Drosophila melanogaster: one gene and its partner. The protein of the gene in region 2 interacts with the protein of the main gene of each other region in a pairwise test. Each region holds a gene or a part of one and is shown on either strand. Other genes may lie near its edges.

What was found.
Region 1: the proteins of tx (region 2) and Pen interact in a two-hybrid assay, tested with the Drosophila melanogaster proteins (one large-scale study listed by BioGRID).

What each region holds. Positions count from the first base shown.
Region 1 is NT_033779.5:10,052,975-10,062,009, forward strand, and holds Pen (pendulin), read left to right. Parts: upstream 1-3,925; 5' UTR 3,926-4,230; intron 4,231-4,647; 5' UTR 4,648-4,722; coding exon 4,723-4,785; intron 4,786-4,846; coding exon 4,847-5,160; intron 5,161-5,224; coding exon 5,225-5,795; intron 5,796-5,872; coding exon 5,873-6,493; 3' UTR 6,494-7,121; downstream 7,122-9,035. Other genes in the region: Cpr31A (cuticular protein 31A), read left to right, coding at 1,382-1,393, 1,888-2,898. UniProt on the Drosophila melanogaster protein: Binds specifically and directly to substrates containing either a simple or bipartite NLS motif. Promotes docking of import substrates to the nuclear envelope. Seems to act as a cytosolic receptor for both simple and bipartite NLS motifs.
Region 2 is NT_033777.3:26,437,765-26,445,974, reverse strand, and holds the start of tx (taxi), read right to left. Parts: upstream 5,198-8,210; 5' UTR 4,239-5,197; intron 1-4,238. UniProt on the Drosophila melanogaster protein: Probably plays an important role in the differentiation of epidermal cells into the tendon cells that form the attachment sites for all muscles.

The DNA of each region.
Region 1 (9,035 bases), on a different chromosome or scaffold from region 2:
TGCTCACGGACGCTTCACGCACTTTCAATTTTTGTGTGTGCCTTCGCCAAGGGGGAGGGGGGTGGGGGAGAGTCATTGAACGGGGATCTCTCGATGCCTCATTGTTCACAGCCATCCGGAGACAATTGTGACCATAATGGAGAGCGGCTGGTTCCTTGAAGCCGCTTAATTACAGCGCTCAAATGAGTTGACACATTTTTTCGTTGGGCTGCGCGGGAAGCGGCGAATTTCATAGAAAAGCCTTTTGGGGCAACCTTCGGTTCTGGGTTATTATTATCAATTAAGACCCATTTTCGGTGACCCAAAGCGTATTTTGTTCCTGGTTGGCAACCTTTGATGGTAACCAACTCATTCATGGTAAATAAATGAAAAAAAAAGTAAATAAAGGTAGATGCCTGTAATTAGTAATCCGATTTGGCAATTTCCAAGCCTCTGTTCCGAAGTGCAAAACTATGTGAAACTGTGCCAATGTCTGCAAGTGTGGACACCAAATAAACACCAAATGGAGCAATAATAAATTTTCTAAAAGACCAAAATAAACAAAAAAAAAAAAAACTGAAAATCATGCGCCCAATGAAGCAAACGCCACTGACACACAAAAGCCACCAAGTCGAAATATAAATATATATATTTATATACGTATGTATAGTGGCGGATATTGAGGTGTTGACAAGACACCTGTATTTTCGTGGGAGGTGGAGAAATAGTTGGCTTTAGGGACAACTTGACAGCAAATTTGGCGCTCCATTGGCGTGCGCATGTCGCCAAGAAAAAAAAAAAAAAAACACGGCCAAGTGCGTTGTGCTCCGACAGAGGGCGCTGCAAGGTGGCAAACGGACAATTGAAAAGTTAATTGAACGGCACTTAAAACGCAATTAATTACCAAATCGCTGACACGCTGAGTAGGCCTACAAGGAAGCGCTGAACTTGACAACGAAAATGGAGAGCGGAAAGCCAAAAAACGAAACTGAAACTGAAACCGAAACCGAAACTCAATCGGATAGCAGTATCGAAACCGTGGACAAAAAGACAAATTACCCGAAACCAGTTTTGGCCCAAGACAATTGTCAAATTGTCAACCAAGATGCCGAGACACTTTTGTACTTGTTACCGGTTTGCTCTTCGGATTTTTTTTTTTCTTTTTATTTTTTTTTTTTTGTCTTTTCTTGAGGGCGCCACTTCTTTTTTGGGGCGGCTAATTCTGACGCCCCATATAAAGTGGTGCGCGTCGGGAGTGGTCGACATCATTAAGTCGACGTCTCTGCCAGAGTCGGACGGATATATACAGTCGTCAGTCTGAAAGTCATCGCAACCTGTGCGGCACGTGCCACTTCATCCTCGAGCAAACCGAGTAGTCCAGTGCAAAGGAAGTGATTCCACAATGGCAGGCAAAGTGAGTTTAATAAAGTGGAACTCTAAGCAGCTCGATTTAAAAGGCATTTCAATGGCGTACAAAATGGCCAACTTTCAAGGCAATTGCTAAACTCGTGTGTTACTATATCCTTTCTCGAAAAAAAAAATATCCAGCCAACTTGTATTTTTCTATAAATCCGCAAAAATTCCATATCGATTAAATGTTTAAATTCGGTGTTGGCCAAAAAATAGGAAGCAAATTCAATTTCAGTGCAACTGAATTCATAACTTGTGATTTGCATAATCACGAAAATAAAACCAATCCAATTGGCATTGCTTCGATTTTAAATTAATATTGGATTTGAAAAATTGTATAATGCAATTGGATTTTTGTATTGCATTTGCACGTATGAAAACATAGTTTTTGGCTAAAATATAAAGTAGCGCACTTCTTTTAGCAAAATTAACTTAAATTATTAACAAAATGAAGTGAATGAAAAATGTTGAAATAATTTAAACCCTTTTTCCGTGCAGCTCCTGACTGTTTTCTCCCTTCTGGCCATCGCCGCATCCTGTCGCGCAGGATTCGCCGCCACCTATGCCGGCTATCATCCCGCCTATGCCACCTACCAGGCACCGGCTGCCGTCTACCATGCGGCACCAGTGGCCCAGGCTGCTGTCTACCAGCAGGCGGCTCCAGTTTACGCCAAGACCTTTGTGCCAGCTGCTCCTGTATACACCAGATCCTATGCCCTGCCCACTCCAGTTGTCAAGGCGGTGGCTCCTGCTCCTCTCGCTCTGCCCGTTGCTGCGCCGGTGGTGAAGACCCTGGCTGCTGCTCCCGTGGTCGCTGCTCCAGTGGTCAAGACTGTGGCTGCTGCTCCCGCTGTACTGAAACAGGTAGAGTTGGAATCTTCGCCGCGCTACGACTTCTCCTACGGCGTTCACGACAGCATCACCGGCGATATCAAAAGCCAGGTGGAGACCCGTGACGGTGGCAATGTTGTGGGATCCTATTCCGTCCTGGATGCCGATGGTTTCAAGCGCACAGTGACCTACACCGCCGACGACATCAACGGATTCAATGCGGTGGTCCAGCGGGAACCGGTTGTCGCTGCCCGCGCAGTTGCTGCTCCAGTGGTTTCCGTCTCCGCTCCAGCTCCAGTTCCCGTCCATATTTCCTCCGCTCCCGTTGCCTCGCTGCCCGCTCCCATCTACTATCCACACCAGCAGGTGTTCGCCCCACAGCAGATTCAACAGGTTGCCGAGCAGCAGGGTGAGGTGGTGGAGTCTCCTGTGGCCCAACAGCCCGAGCTGGAACCCACTCCCATTGACTACAACGAGGGTCAGCAGCAGCAGCAGGAGCAGCAGCAGCAAACCTATCCCCAGGATCAGCAGTTCCCACCCTACTCGCCAGCTGGTCAATCCTCCCCAGCTCCTGACAGCGATGATTCCGACGTGGTGGAGGCACGATCTGCCCCGGAGGCCAGCAGCACCACCACCACCGCTGCTCCAGTTACGGAGGAGAACAAGAAGACGGCCTAGATTGGATTATGAACGGAAATATTGTTGAAATTAATAAGGAAATGAATAAAATACTTCGAGAATACATAAAAAATTGTCTACTAATTCAAATTAAATGTAGTTTAGTTACATTTATAAGCTGATAATTCAAAAGCTTAAATGCGGCGATTTTAATAATTAATTTACCACATTAATTTAGCGGATTACTTCTCAAAGAATCGAAAAACAAACAATTGAAAAAGGGACTAAATCGATTGGCAGCAATCATCTCTAAAAAAAATTTTGTTTATTTCTGACAACCGCATATAAACAAAATGAAAAGAGCATTAACCGGAAATATCTGCGCATTTATTGCATTATTACTGATAATCGAGAGATTAAATGGTATTAGTGCAATGATAACATATTTGCAAGCAAAAAAAAAGAGACAATCAAATTTTATATTTAAAGGTAGACAGATAAAATCAGTACCTTTTATTATCCAATTAAATATTGATTTAGGTGGCTATTTTTTGTCTTATTAAATATGGATAGAGCTTTACATTTTAACACATATTCGTTGAATAAATTAACAACAAAGATTGAACATAAATATTTATGGAAATTGTAATTGAAGCTTTTAAACGTATAGCCTTAATATTAAACATTATTAATATTATATTATTTTAAGATGAAGGTTTTCCTTACAAAAGTAAAGACGAGAAAGTAAAACATAAACATTTGTCATAAACATTTAAATGAGCCCGCGTGGTGTGCAGATTCAGCCGACTTCTATTCAGCTGTTGGCTGAATTTGGCTTGCATGCGCACACGTTCCACGTTCCACAACAACATATTGAAATCCAAAAGCTGCTTCACCACTTGGCAAGCGATCGTTAACAAGTTACACCAGAAATTTATATATACTAAAAAAATAATAAGTTACTTAAAAATTTAGTAATAATTATGTGGATATAAAAAATGTACATTATTTTTCTCTACGCGCCGTTGTCCGAAGTTAACAGCAAGATAACATGCGATATTAGGCACCTACGTTCACACTGGCATCAAATTTCGATAACTGACAAAGATCGATAGCCATCTGCGTTTCGTTCGCCACTAAGGCTTGCTTTTCAAATCAAACGGTAAATTCTGGCGGCGCCAAGCAGGCATTGACTCCAATTTCGCATCGATTACGAGAGTACTGTCTACGTTTGTCTACAGTTTCACCGACACATTCAGCGTGCTAACACGCTCGACAAATTCTCGTGCTCGCGTTTCGTTAGGGAACGATAAAAATTGTGTAAAAATTCAGTAAAGTGAATTTCCATTCGAAAAAGCCAGCACACGCATTCAAAAGGGCAAAGGTACAAAGGTAAGTGCGTGTGTACTCTTTTCTTCCTTTTCGCGGTTTTTCCCACTGCTTTTTACTAGCGTTCATCAATTTGACCGCCTCTTCGTGATCTCCTCTTCTCGTTCCCCTCTTTCCGCGAATCGGCAAATGGCGGCTGCTGCAGCTGTTGCCAACCAAAGGCGTAGTTCTTAACTCGCGGGGGCTTGAGCGATTGGGTGCCCCGTTAAAAATAATCTTGTAAATTAGTTGGCTTATGTTGGCTAACACATAGGAATAACATATCGAGTTGCTGGCCACAAAGAAAACCCCTTTTTTGAACTCATGGTTACGCCCCTGTTGCACGCCGAAAGGAATATAAAAGACAGAGATAAAAAAAAAGAACCCAAGCAGCCCTTGATTCTGCTTCTTCCTGACATTGACTCACATTTTCCTTTTCAGTTTCACACATTTCATCGCAGCAGCAAACATCTAAACTTTTAAAGAAAAAACACAAAACTCAAAAAAAAAAAAAAAATGAGTAAGGCGGATTCTAACTCACGACAGGGCTCCTACAAGGCCAACAGCATTAACACGCAGGTAATGTACACAAGATCCTCCGCAGAACTGCGTTCGGAACTAACCTCACTTTTTGCCCTAGGACTCACGCATGCGCCGCCATGAGGTGACCATCGAGCTGCGCAAGTCCAAAAAGGAGGACCAGATGTTCAAGCGGCGCAACATCAACGACGAGGATCTAACGTCGCCGCTCAAAGAGCTCAATGGCCAGTCGCCGGTGCAGCTGTCCGTGGACGAGATAGTGGCGGCCATGAACAGCGAGGATCAGGAGCGCCAGTTTCTGGGCATGCAGTCTGCCCGCAAGATGCTCAGTCGGGAGCGCAATCCACCCATCGACCTGATGATCGGCCATGGTATTGTGCCCATTTGCATACGCTTCCTGCAGAATACCAACAAGTGAGTAGTGGCTTTAGAATGTTGATGAGAGCATTATTGAATATCCCCTGATTCGCCGCTACAGCTCAATGCTGCAGTTCGAGGCCGCTTGGGCGCTTACCAACATCGCCTCTGGCACATCCGACCAAACGCGCTGCGTTATCGAACACAATGCTGTGCCGCATTTCGTGGCTCTGCTCCAGTCCAAGTCCATGAACCTGGCCGAGCAGGCAGTCTGGGCTCTGGGCAACATTGCCGGCGACGGAGCCGCCGCCCGCGACATTGTCATCCACCACAACGTAATTGACGGAATCTTGCCACTGATCAACAATGAGACACCGCTCTCTTTTCTGCGCAACATCGTCTGGCTGATGTCCAACCTGTGCCGGAACAAGAATCCATCGCCGCCATTCGATCAGGTGAAGCGGCTGTTGCCCGTCCTGTCGCAGCTTCTGCTTAGTCAGGACATCCAAGTGCTGGCCGACGCCTGCTGGGCTTTGTCCTACGTCACGGACGACGATAACACCAAGATCCAGGCTGTGGTCGACTCGGACGCAGTGCCGCGCCTGGTCAAACTGCTGCAAATGGACGAGCCGAGCATTATTGTGCCCGCCCTGCGCAGCGTTGGCAACATTGTGACTGGCACAGATCAACAGGTAGGAAAACAAATGATTTTAATCCTTATTGTTATAACATGCCTGACCGACCTGTTTTTTTTTTTTTTTTTTATTAGACTGACGTTGTAATTGCATCTGGAGGTTTACCAAGGCTGGGACTCCTTCTACAGCACAACAAAAGCAACATTGTGAAGGAGGCTGCCTGGACGGTCAGCAACATCACAGCAGGTAACCAGAAGCAGATCCAGGCTGTGATTCAGGCCGGCATCTTCCAGCAGCTGCGCACCGTGCTGGAGAAGGGTGATTTCAAGGCTCAAAAAGAGGCTGCCTGGGCGGTGACAAACACCACGACATCTGGCACTCCCGAACAGATCGTCGATCTAATTGAGAAGTACAAAATATTGAAGCCTTTTATCGATTTGCTGGACACAAAGGATCCGCGTACCATCAAGGTGGTGCAGACGGGCCTATCCAATCTGTTTGCCCTGGCGGAGAAACTTGGTGGCACCGAGAACCTATGCTTGATGGTCGAGGAGATGGGCGGTCTAGACAAGCTGGAAACTCTGCAGCAGCACGAGAACGAGGAGGTCTACAAGAAGGCCTACGCCATCATTGACACATACTTCAGCAACGGCGACGACGAGGCCGAGCAAGAGCTCGCACCTCAGGAGGTCAACGGAGCCCTCGAGTTCAATGCCACCCAGCCCAAGGCTCCCGAAGGTGGCTACACGTTCTAATCGCCCACCCCACACATTCCAAACTCCGCTCACACGCCTTACAAACAACTACACCTTCGACCGCGCTCACACACTATGCCATTGTCAAACATACGCATACTCATCATCACATCTTACAAACATTCCCAAACACTTTGGAGGTATGCATGGAAACACAGGCGAATGCATTAGCTTAAAGTCATAATTGAATCGGGTTGGCAAAATCCACTCGCATGAATCCCCATTTAACATACCCGTATTCCTCGCGTTAGACTAGACTTCACAGATTGCAGCATGGATCTTTCTGGCAGTGTTCCTCGTTCACGATGCAACCGCTCGGGCAGCTGCGCTGGCTGGGATCCGTGGATCATAGTATTTCCAGAATCCGTCTGTACAGGGGGCACCTTATGTTTGCGTGTACTAGGCTTTTTATTGGATACGTTTCGAGCTCATTTCGGATATATTTTAGGCTGTTTAGTATTTATTTATGTATACAGGAAACGCTTTTAATCCTCCACCTTCGCGCAAGCATTACAACAACAACAACAACAACAACAACTCATTCCCTTCACACCAGTGTCCTCATTCCCGAATCGCATGTTTATATTCAAAGTTGTCAATAAATAATGAATTGTTTGAATGATTAATTAAATTTCATGTGTATTTAAGCTGCATTTGAGCATTGCGAAAATTGGAGCCTATTTTTGGGCCTTGGCATTTTTTTTTGTATATTATTTGGAATGCTATTGGGATATACACCGATGCAGGCAATCGAATTTAAAATGTTATCCCTTCGATGCGCTGGCGCCTTTTGTCCGTAAATCCGCGATAAAAAGTCATGCAGTCAATACATGTTTTTTTTTTTGTCTTGTACATTTAAATCGCATTTGGGCCGTAAGCGGATAGCCGGAAGATTAAGAGCTATCTACCGCAGCCACGCCCACTCGAGCAGCGGTGGACAGCGACCCCAAAAAAGTTCCAGATTAGATATAATGATTAAACAACCGACGAGTGAGTAGTGAGTAGTAGTCTACTACTGGCACAGAACGCGCACCACGCACAACTCAATCAAGATGAATCGCAGCGTTCGTGGTTATTGCAGTGATCCAGAGGGTAAGCTTAATCAGTGGAGCGACGACGTCACATCAACAACCATGTCCACGTACGATCTTGTTCCCATCGGATGCAGTGCGTCGAATTCGGCGAATCGTGTGTGTGTGTGGCAAAACAAATTATAAAAATAGATTAAAAATTCAGCATGGGCAAAGTAGTTGCCGAAAATTCGAACTGAATTGTGGAAGCATTGGCCGCCATCCGGAGCTTTTGCCTCCGCGTTGCCCAAATTGTCGTCACCGATGGATCGGATCTATGTATTCAATTGGTTCTTTCTCGAGCTATTTTATTATTTCCGAGCGCAAGCGTTTAGTCGACTTTCTGCCGAAGCTGCGTGCGGGCGTGAATCTCTAAGGGCAACTAATTTATATAATTGCAAAACGATCTGAACTGACATTACGCATTTGAAACTTAAAAATTTCTAACGATTTTTAAAAAAGGTAATAGAGAATAGTGCAAGTGATGTGAAACCAATCGGTAGTTTCGTAAATTGCCTTGTGTGTAAATCAATTCGCATTTTCACTGAATGTGTGTCGAAATTTTCACAACTATTGTTGTTGATGATGCCACTTCGAAAACAATTTTCTGATCTCATATGCCTCACTGAGAATCCAGTTGGGGATACACCATATGCCACTTGGTGCATTTAAACGTTTACAAAATACAAGAAAAAAAGTGTGAAAAAAATCGAAAGCACTTTTGACAAACTCATGATGCAGTTAATTTCGTTGAATAAAACAAAAAATTGGCACACCAAAAATAAACAATAAACATCTAGCACTAGAACAGCGCTACTTTATAGCGACTACTACATAGCGTACACAGCAAGAAATTTGTACTCATTATAAAATGTTTAATTTTAATCATTGGGAAAACATTTAATTTTGCTGTGAATTGATAGAATAGTATATTACCTATACTAAATCTATTCAAAATGCATTTTAAAGTTGTTCATGTGATAAAATTGTGAAAACTGAAAGAGTATGAGTGACATGATTTTCTGATAGATTTTTCTTGCAGTGTGGGCAGCGTGGCTCTCGCGATTTTGAAGCGGAAAACGGTCTTTTTTTCCGTTTCGGTCCGTTTTTATTTTCCGATTGGGGTGGGTGGGCGCGTATTTTGTTTGTTGATGTGGCAATTAAGCGCGCAAGTGTGCGCGTCGCGTAGAAATCGGCGTGCAGAGCTGCAGCTTCGAATCGACAAACTATATAGTACATATATAGCGAGTGGGCATTGAAGTGGGCGTGGGCGTGGGCGTGGTAGGCGGTGGGATTGGGTTTGTTTGCCATAGAACGGCGGCGGCTGCCGAAATTCGCGTGAAATTAAAAGTTGCCGCAAATATATAGCCACAGCACTGTCACAAAGTTTTCCGCCTCGGCGTTTCCGCTTTGTTTACTTGCCGAAAATAGTGTCAAGTTTGGCCTAGTGTGTTCAGTTGACTTTATTTGTT
Region 2 (8,210 bases):
TTGCACGTAACGTGCCTTGGCCTCATAAATCGCCAGTTTGCCATTTTGCCAGCTAGCCAGCTAGTCAGCTAACCAGCCTTCCAACCTTCCAGTTTGCCAGTCTGAATGCAGAGGTGTAAATGCAGCCAGATTGATTGCAGTCAGTTGATCTAAGGGGAGCAGCTAACGTCGAGTTAGTCGGTTTAGCCGGGCCCACTTAAATGGACAATTTAGTGCAGATTGTCCAAAATTGGCACTAGACGATTCTGGCCACCTTGCCCGATTCAATCCGGCTCGCATTGGCTTGGATTGCCAGCATGTTGGCTCGTTGTTGGCCTGCTTGACACTTGTTGCATAGCTTTGACCATTCCCAGAGCTCGCTCTTGGCTTGGCCTAAACGAGTTATGAGGTGTTTCTCCTTAAGTGAGCACTTTTCTTCGATTACCGTTAATGTTTGTTTGTCTGGCAGCAATAAAAAAAAAAAAAAAAAAAACCAGAGAGAATGCATGCCAAGAGATTCAGCACAGCTCATCTTGAAATCCCAGCAAATCTCCATTCAAATCACCTTTCCCTGCCTCAACTTTCAACACGTGGCTAGGTTCTTCACTTCGTGCCGGCATTTTCTTTTGGCGTTTCGCCCCTGTTTCGAGGTATAATTAATTTTTACCACGCAATCCTAAGAAATGCTTAAAGACCCAGCAGAAAGAAGTTTTTAAGTTGGAAAAGATCCGCATGGATTGCATGCCCTTTCAAAAAGTTTTAAATGCTTTTAGAATATGCTTAGTATCTATCCTCTACTCTACATATCTATATACATATAAATTTCGTTAATACATTATTTTTAAAGCATGGTACGAAACGAATGTCATTCTTTAAAAGACCCGCCCCCAAGTCAGTGGAACCCACTTGAGTTGTAAGGGCATCGTGAAAAGTTTGCGACATGCAACAAACAAGCTGCAATTAAGCGCGCAACACAGAAAAATTTGTGCACCGTCTTCAAAGAGGGGCGGCAAACGTTGTTCACCTGCTCACTCCCCTCGCTCCCCTCCGCCCAATTTTCCCATTTTCCCGCCCTCCGGTCCAAAACGACGTGAAAATTACCTAGTTCCGTGTGCTTAAAGTGGGCCTTTTCGCTGGGTGGGTGGAAAAGCGTGGAAAGTGCAACGACTGTCCGCAATCAACAAATTGCATGCGATTAAAAGTATTCGCGGCTAATAAACGTTTGTTGAACAAACAGCAACAAGCGGCCTCCTGATTTTCGGAGTCGCAACCGGAGGGATACAGGATATGCTGCAAGGAAGTGGAGCAGGAAGTTAGCGGGGCGCAGTTTATAGTGCATAGGGCCTGTTTCGTTCTCTGTTGATTGGAAAATTTGTTGCGCGCTTTTCGTGGACAAAGTGAGCGGTGGGGGGGGGGGAAGGAGGGCGGGGTGGTGCCTCTGCTTAAGTTTTCAATTACACGCCGGCACAATGCAGAAAGCGCCCAATTGAAATGCACAGACAACAAACATAGAACAGTTCCTCTTACACAAAAGCCCAACATTTCATTTTGACACTGAGAAAAATCGGAGGAATGTGAAAGAAATACGTTCAATCAAATACAATAAAGCTGTTATGTTTGATTACTGCTTATAACATTTCAGCTTATCAAACTAAGTTGTGTTTTTGTTATATGATATATTTATAAGATCTCATATTCAAATAAAATGTTGAGCTTTTTGACAACAAAAAATTCTTAAAGTTTTTTTCCTTACAATTATTTGCAGTTGAAGAATTTTGTTTCAGTGCACCCCTTTTCCTGATCCCATTCTCTTTTACCAACAGTTTGGTAGACAAAAGGCGAGCCGTGCGTGCGACGAGGCGTGAAGGGGTCGAGGGGCGGGGCAGGGGCGTGTGGGTGGGTCGGCCCGTTCCACAGATATATAAAATACTTTTTTTTTTTTGGGGAAAATCAGATGGAATGGGAATGGGGACGGGGAAGTTAGCCAGGCCTAGCCGAAGTGCACTTGAAACTACCGGCGAGTGGCTCCTCCTCCCTCTGCAGTCTGCCCTTCACTTTTGGTTCGGTTGCAGTCGCTGCATTTTTAGGTGTAGCCATTAAATTTAGAACTTTTTCTGCACGCTTGTCTGCGCGCCCATGGGTTTTCCGGGGGGAAAATCGGGGCAGGAGGAATTGTTGAATTCAAGGATTTCGGCAGTCGGGTGCGGTTAAATGGAAAATGAAGCGTCTGCTGCTTGGGCACGGAAAAAAAAGCAACTGAACCACATGAGGCATTGCTATAACGAGGGTAGATGACTTAGTTTGAACAATGTTTTCTCTTGACAAGATAAAGTTAGCATGGTAAACGGATCTAAACTTTGATTTATAAATATTAGTAATCCTTCAATTGAAAAAGTAACTAAAGTAGTAAAATCATCATCAAGAACTAAACTTTCAACTTTAATTATTGCTTTTGAATGAAATCCAAAGTTGCTTTGTCTTTCGTAACTTCAAGAGCTGCCCTCTGGACCGATTCGCTATGGAATCTCCGACTGATTCAGATTGTCTCTGTGCCTGCCGTGTTTTTGATTCGTTTTGTTGTTGTTGTCTTTTCCACAGCTCTAAAATTAGTTTTCATTGTATGCAACTTGAATTTTCTTCCTTCACTATTTTCGTTTTCTTATTTTCGTAGCGCTCTATCTATTTTTTATCTGCCTCGATTTGTGATTCTTAATTTGCTTTTTGTGGAAAGCGTCAAAATCTTTCATTCGGCTTCGACTTTGTTGCCGATACTATATACATAGTCACCTATAGTCTATAACCTTTGTTGTTGCTCGCCTAGCTAGTTGCGCGTGTGTGTGTGTGTGTGGTTGCTGTTGTCTCGTGCTGTTGGCTGTTGCCAGTTGCACGTTGCACGTCCCCCTGATGCTAGTCTCGTGTGTGCTACCGTTGGCAGCTATTATTTTTAGCCGGCCTGCGGCAAGTTCTTATTTGTTATTTTACCCATCTCTTTTTTTGCCGTCTTTTGATTTTTTTACGCTTCTTTCCTTTTATTTCGTTTTGTTTTTTCTTCTGTTGATTTGTTGCCATTGCTTTGGCCAAATGATTTTGTTTGATTTTCCATTTACGTTGAGTTTGTTTATTAAAATTGGCACACACTGCGTATGTGTGATGTGGCCGTGTTTACATTCACCGTCTCCCTTCCACCACCGTGTGGATAAATACGAATACGTATGAGTTATATTTTGATAGCTTTCTGTGTGGTTTTGTATTACCCATCGGCTTTTGATTTGCTTGATTTTTTGACAGGTCTCTGGCATTTGCCTACGACTAACTTTTATTTTTCTTGATTTATTCCTGCTATTGTTATTGTTTAAGTCTCTTTGCAAGGAGGGGCGCTGGCTTTTCCCACATACGATCGAGATTTGGGTCAGGGGGACAGCAAACAATGAGGTAGGCAAGTATATATAGGGTAGCAATAGACTCATGTGTCCATAAACTAATTTAATTTTAGATGCACCTTTCCATGGCAGAAAAATCATTAAAATTTGACTCGATTAATGCGTGTATTTTTGGCGAATTTTTTTTTTGTAAATCATAAAATATTTATGACGAATAACATTTTTTAATCATGTATTGAGTCAGCCCATGAGATGCTAGTTTATTTTAGCTTTCGACAAAATGAATAATATATTAATATATTAAATAAATAAATGCCAAATTAAAATCGGCGATTGACTGGCTGCCAGAAACCAATTTTACTCGATTATTTGGGCAAACATAGTGCTTGTTGCCGAATGGTATGGCGAAAATGAAAGTAAATAAATAAATGCCGGCGTTGATTAGCACATCACAGATTTAAAGTGAGTGGCAGGTTAAGCGGGACTCTCATTGATGATGAGAATTCACAGCTTTTGTTTGCACATTAATTAAACTGTTCCCCCTACTTTGGTCGCAAACAAACGCAGCCAAGTTGCTGCTTCCCTTCGGTAACCTTTGAAAATCAGTTGACAACTGGCTGTCGTCGCCGTTTTCCCTGCTGAGCAGCTCGAAAACATTTTCCCCTGCACACATCTGGCTTTTCAACACCTTGGACAAATAAATGTTTCAGAAGTTTCTTAAAAGCCCGCCCTGCCCCATCTGCCAGCCACTAACGTGATTGGACAGAGGAATGCCTTTTGTCTATTTTTATTGGGGCGGCAACAAGAGATCGGGCAGATCTTCTATATCTTTTCTATATCTGAACGCTTATGTCTGATAAATGGCGGCGGTATATTTACCTTTTTGATTTCATAAATCCAACAATGTATGGCTGCGGGATTGGTCTTTCAGGATGATTTGAATTCAGTTGTGCACTCTGATTAAGATTTGTTGATGTTTTTATTTTAATTTTTGGTTCATTAAAGTTGCGCCAAAGTATGCAAATTGAAATTCCGACAACGCGCTGTCTAATTAGTCACCCAACTAATTTTGATATGCGATCTTTGTTTGAATTTTGTTTTGTTTGGACTTTTTTTTATTCTTTTCGGATTTAAAGTTATTAGCTCATGCATAAATTTGGCATGTTAACACAACAAAAAAGGTTTGTTTTCAGTTTTTATTTCCTCAAAAACTTCTGGAACTTGTTTTGGTTTGAATTAATATTGCGGTGGTTGTGGTTGTTGCGGTTGTGATTGCGCCGCTGGTTTAACTATTGATAATAACTTCGGTACGGTTTTCGCGCATTCTTGAGTTGTGTTTATCTTGGGCCTGCTGGAAAAGCCTCGAAGAATGGATTTTCCGTGAAAACGTGCAAGCCGCGTGTGTCAGTGCGGCGGTACTAATGTGTGCGGCGGTGTGCGTGAGGCCGGTTGCTAAAAATATCTATGAGTGCGCGTCGCTCGCGTTCTGTGTATCTGTATCTCGGAATCTGTATCTGTATCCAATATCCCGAGATGGCATACGAAAATACACGGAGAAAATGCTGCGCTGCGTCCGCCTGCTGCGCTTGTCGGCTGTGCACTGAATAGATATATCTCGCGGATCGCTGGGATGGTCTGACTTGGTTTGGCTTGGGATGCGGTGGCAGCTAAATCAGCTGACTACTGCCCCCAGTTGGCTTTGACTCCGTTAGCCAGGTTAGCGGCTCAGGTGGGCGGCGATGGCAGTGGAAGTCGGACTTTTGGCTCACTTGTCCGCTGCGCTGAGCGTGCGGCGCGCTATTGGAACGATCAATGAATGAAATGCCGCATTAAAAGGCAGCACAGTCTCGTTTTCTCAGCGACGACCAATAAACCGAGAAACCCACTGGCGCTCGCCAACGCCAACACAAAACAGCCCAGCGCACAACACAACACAACACAGCACAGCTCAGCACAAAGTCATTGAAGAGAAACCAGTTCTCTCTTTCCCCAAATATCCACATCCACCCGATGTGTGGGTGCTTTTTGCGTTGGCCGGATCGGATGGGATCGTATCGTATCGGATCGTATCGTATCGTACTGTATCGCATAGTACGGTCCCAGTTGGTCTTTGGCGCACTCTCTTGAGTGATTTCCGATTCGGATGGATTTTCGGTTTCGTTTCGAGTGTTTTGAGTGCTACCACGAGTACGCGTAGACGGCCCCCTGAGATTTCGTATGATCTAATATCGCCAGGCAGTTATTTATTTAAATTTATTGCTAATTTTATTTGCTGCTGCAGCAGCGCTTGACATTCATTTGTACAAGTCAGACATTGCTTGAGCTCACTTGAAAATAGTTAAAAATGTTTATTCGCCTTTGATTGAGATGGTATCAGCTACCAAAGCTTGACTTGTGTCGGATCTCCATTTTTAAGGTTGAACTTTGGTTGCCAGACCATAAATGATACTCATTCTTGGTATTTATTTGGATCAACTTGGATTTCGTGGCGAATTATGAGGCACGTCGAAGTAAAGTTCAAGGAAATCTCCTCATTTGTTTGTCATTTAAGTGTTTTAAGAATGGATGGTGGAATTTTGTTGTTTTAACTTTAATTCATGACAAGTATTTAAAGTATTTCCTGTAAGATAATATAAATATATATAATAACAATTCTTCGAAACGTGGTGTTCAGTAATTTTCAGCAATTTAAATTGTAATTAAAATATTTTTGATGGGTATCTGATAGCCGACGCTTTTGACTCCTGTCCATATATTTGGATTTTATAATTTATTCTAATTCGTTTCGATCAGTTTCAGTTCAGATGTATTGGGTGTGTGCACTTCTCAAGTTGTTTTCACATAGCGTCTAATTTCAAAGTGCTAAGCTGATTTCAAAGTCACAATTCAGTTGTTGGAACCCGATTTTTTTTTATTTTTCAACAAAGAATATTGTTTAGAGTCATGTTTGTATAGTTTGTTTTTGCTTGCATTTTGTTGCTTCGCAAATAATTATAATTAACTGAAACAGGCAAATAATTGCAAAATGGATTTGCTCCTGCAGGCAAAACAAGTTGTTTTCTCATTATTGTAGCTATGACGACATACCCGGCTTAAATCTCGAGTTTGCCCCGATATACTCATATACGAGCATTTGTGAATAAATGACTTCGGGCAATAGACCGATCGACTCTGTGACTGACTGGCGATTAATTTATCTTTGTGCTTCTGTCTTCTGTCTGAAGGCGAGTTCGTCATCGTTTGTCGTGTTTTGTTCTTGAGTAAATAAATCATGATGACAACAGTTAAATTTGATTATGATTCTTTTTTTTTTCATGCCCAGAAAGCATACATTTTTCATGGCACAAGGTCGTCACACATTTTAGGAGAGTGGAAAAGTAACGCATGCAACATTAATTTGATTTGCGTGCGAAGGGAGCTGAAAATCAAATTATATATGTACGAATATTTTTGATTAACTGAGCGTATTTAAAAATACATACAAAGTGGCCAAAATGTTGTGTTTCTTTGCTGACAGCTTAATCTGCCGAACGACGACGACTCCCAAAGACAAGAACATGAATAAGCGAGCCATAATTAAAAAAACAAACGTCACTTTTGAATGTTTGTTTTGTGACCAAGTCCAAAAATATATGGGCATGGCCAAAAGGGGCTGAAAACGTGGTAATAAAATATATACATTTTAAAAAATAATCAGTTTTAAATAATTTCTCGCACTTTTACACTAATAATTGCCATAATGCATGCTTGTAAAGACTGAATTTATATAAGTTTAACTAATTGCTACTTAAGTACTAGAATTTTATGGCGTTAATTGTCATTACTTTTAATCTAATTTGAGCGTGAATAATGCCCCTGCTCCACCTGCCATGTCGCTCAATTGCTTATGCAAATGTTCTGAGTTTCAGCTTTGGCTTTGGCTTTTAATTGCCAGCTTCGGAAATCGCATTTGCCTTAATATGGTCAGAAAGCCAGGCGCGATGCCCAGTATAAGTTCGATCAAAGGGGGGCCCCAAACGCTATAAGCCATCAGCTATTAGCCCCTTCCCTCTTGGCCCACTTGGATGGCCGGCGATCCCGCTAAGGAAGTCTGTGAGACGTGTCTGCGACCATTTATGGCCATCGCACGGGAAAGCAGTGAGAAAGCAGAGACTTTTGTATACAAACTCTCTCGACTCGGCTAATTGTGAGCATCGTGGGGCTTCGGGCCAAGCTTCTGAGCTGGCTGTTTTGTGTGTACTGTTGCTACCTTGTCGGCTGTTAACTTTGTCTGCAGCCTCGAAAAAGCGTTGGTGTCGCTGAGTGGGCGGCGACTGGGTCTTGAGTCAACGTTGATTTTGTTTTATATTTTACGTAAATTTATTATTACAAATATCGTTATTGCCGCTTTCAAGCGGAAATACACTCGACTTGGCCAGCCCACGCTCCCTCACGGTCATAACCACCTGCACAGGTTATCTTTTCGTTCTGCCTGTATTTCTTGTTGGCTTTTGGGAAGTGGAAGCTGGCTATTTCGAGTGGAATTGGACGAGCGGAAATGCCAGGCGATTAAGTTGTTGTTCCTCAGCTCGGTTACGTTACCTTTTTCTATTCGTCTCATTTTTAGTGATAATTAATTTTCGTGAGCTCTGTGATACTGCTGATTTGCATAAGTGAGGGTCGCGTGGGTGCGGGGCATATGAATCAGTTGGTAGACTTATGAATGGCATAGTAAAGTTACTTTGTTAACTTTCACGGATTGACAATAGGCAATTATTGCAATGCGATTAACATAAAAATAAATGAAATTAACTCTTTAAGTGCTTTTTATTTGTCAATGCTGCAGGTATTTCGATTTAATTGGTTGAGCAA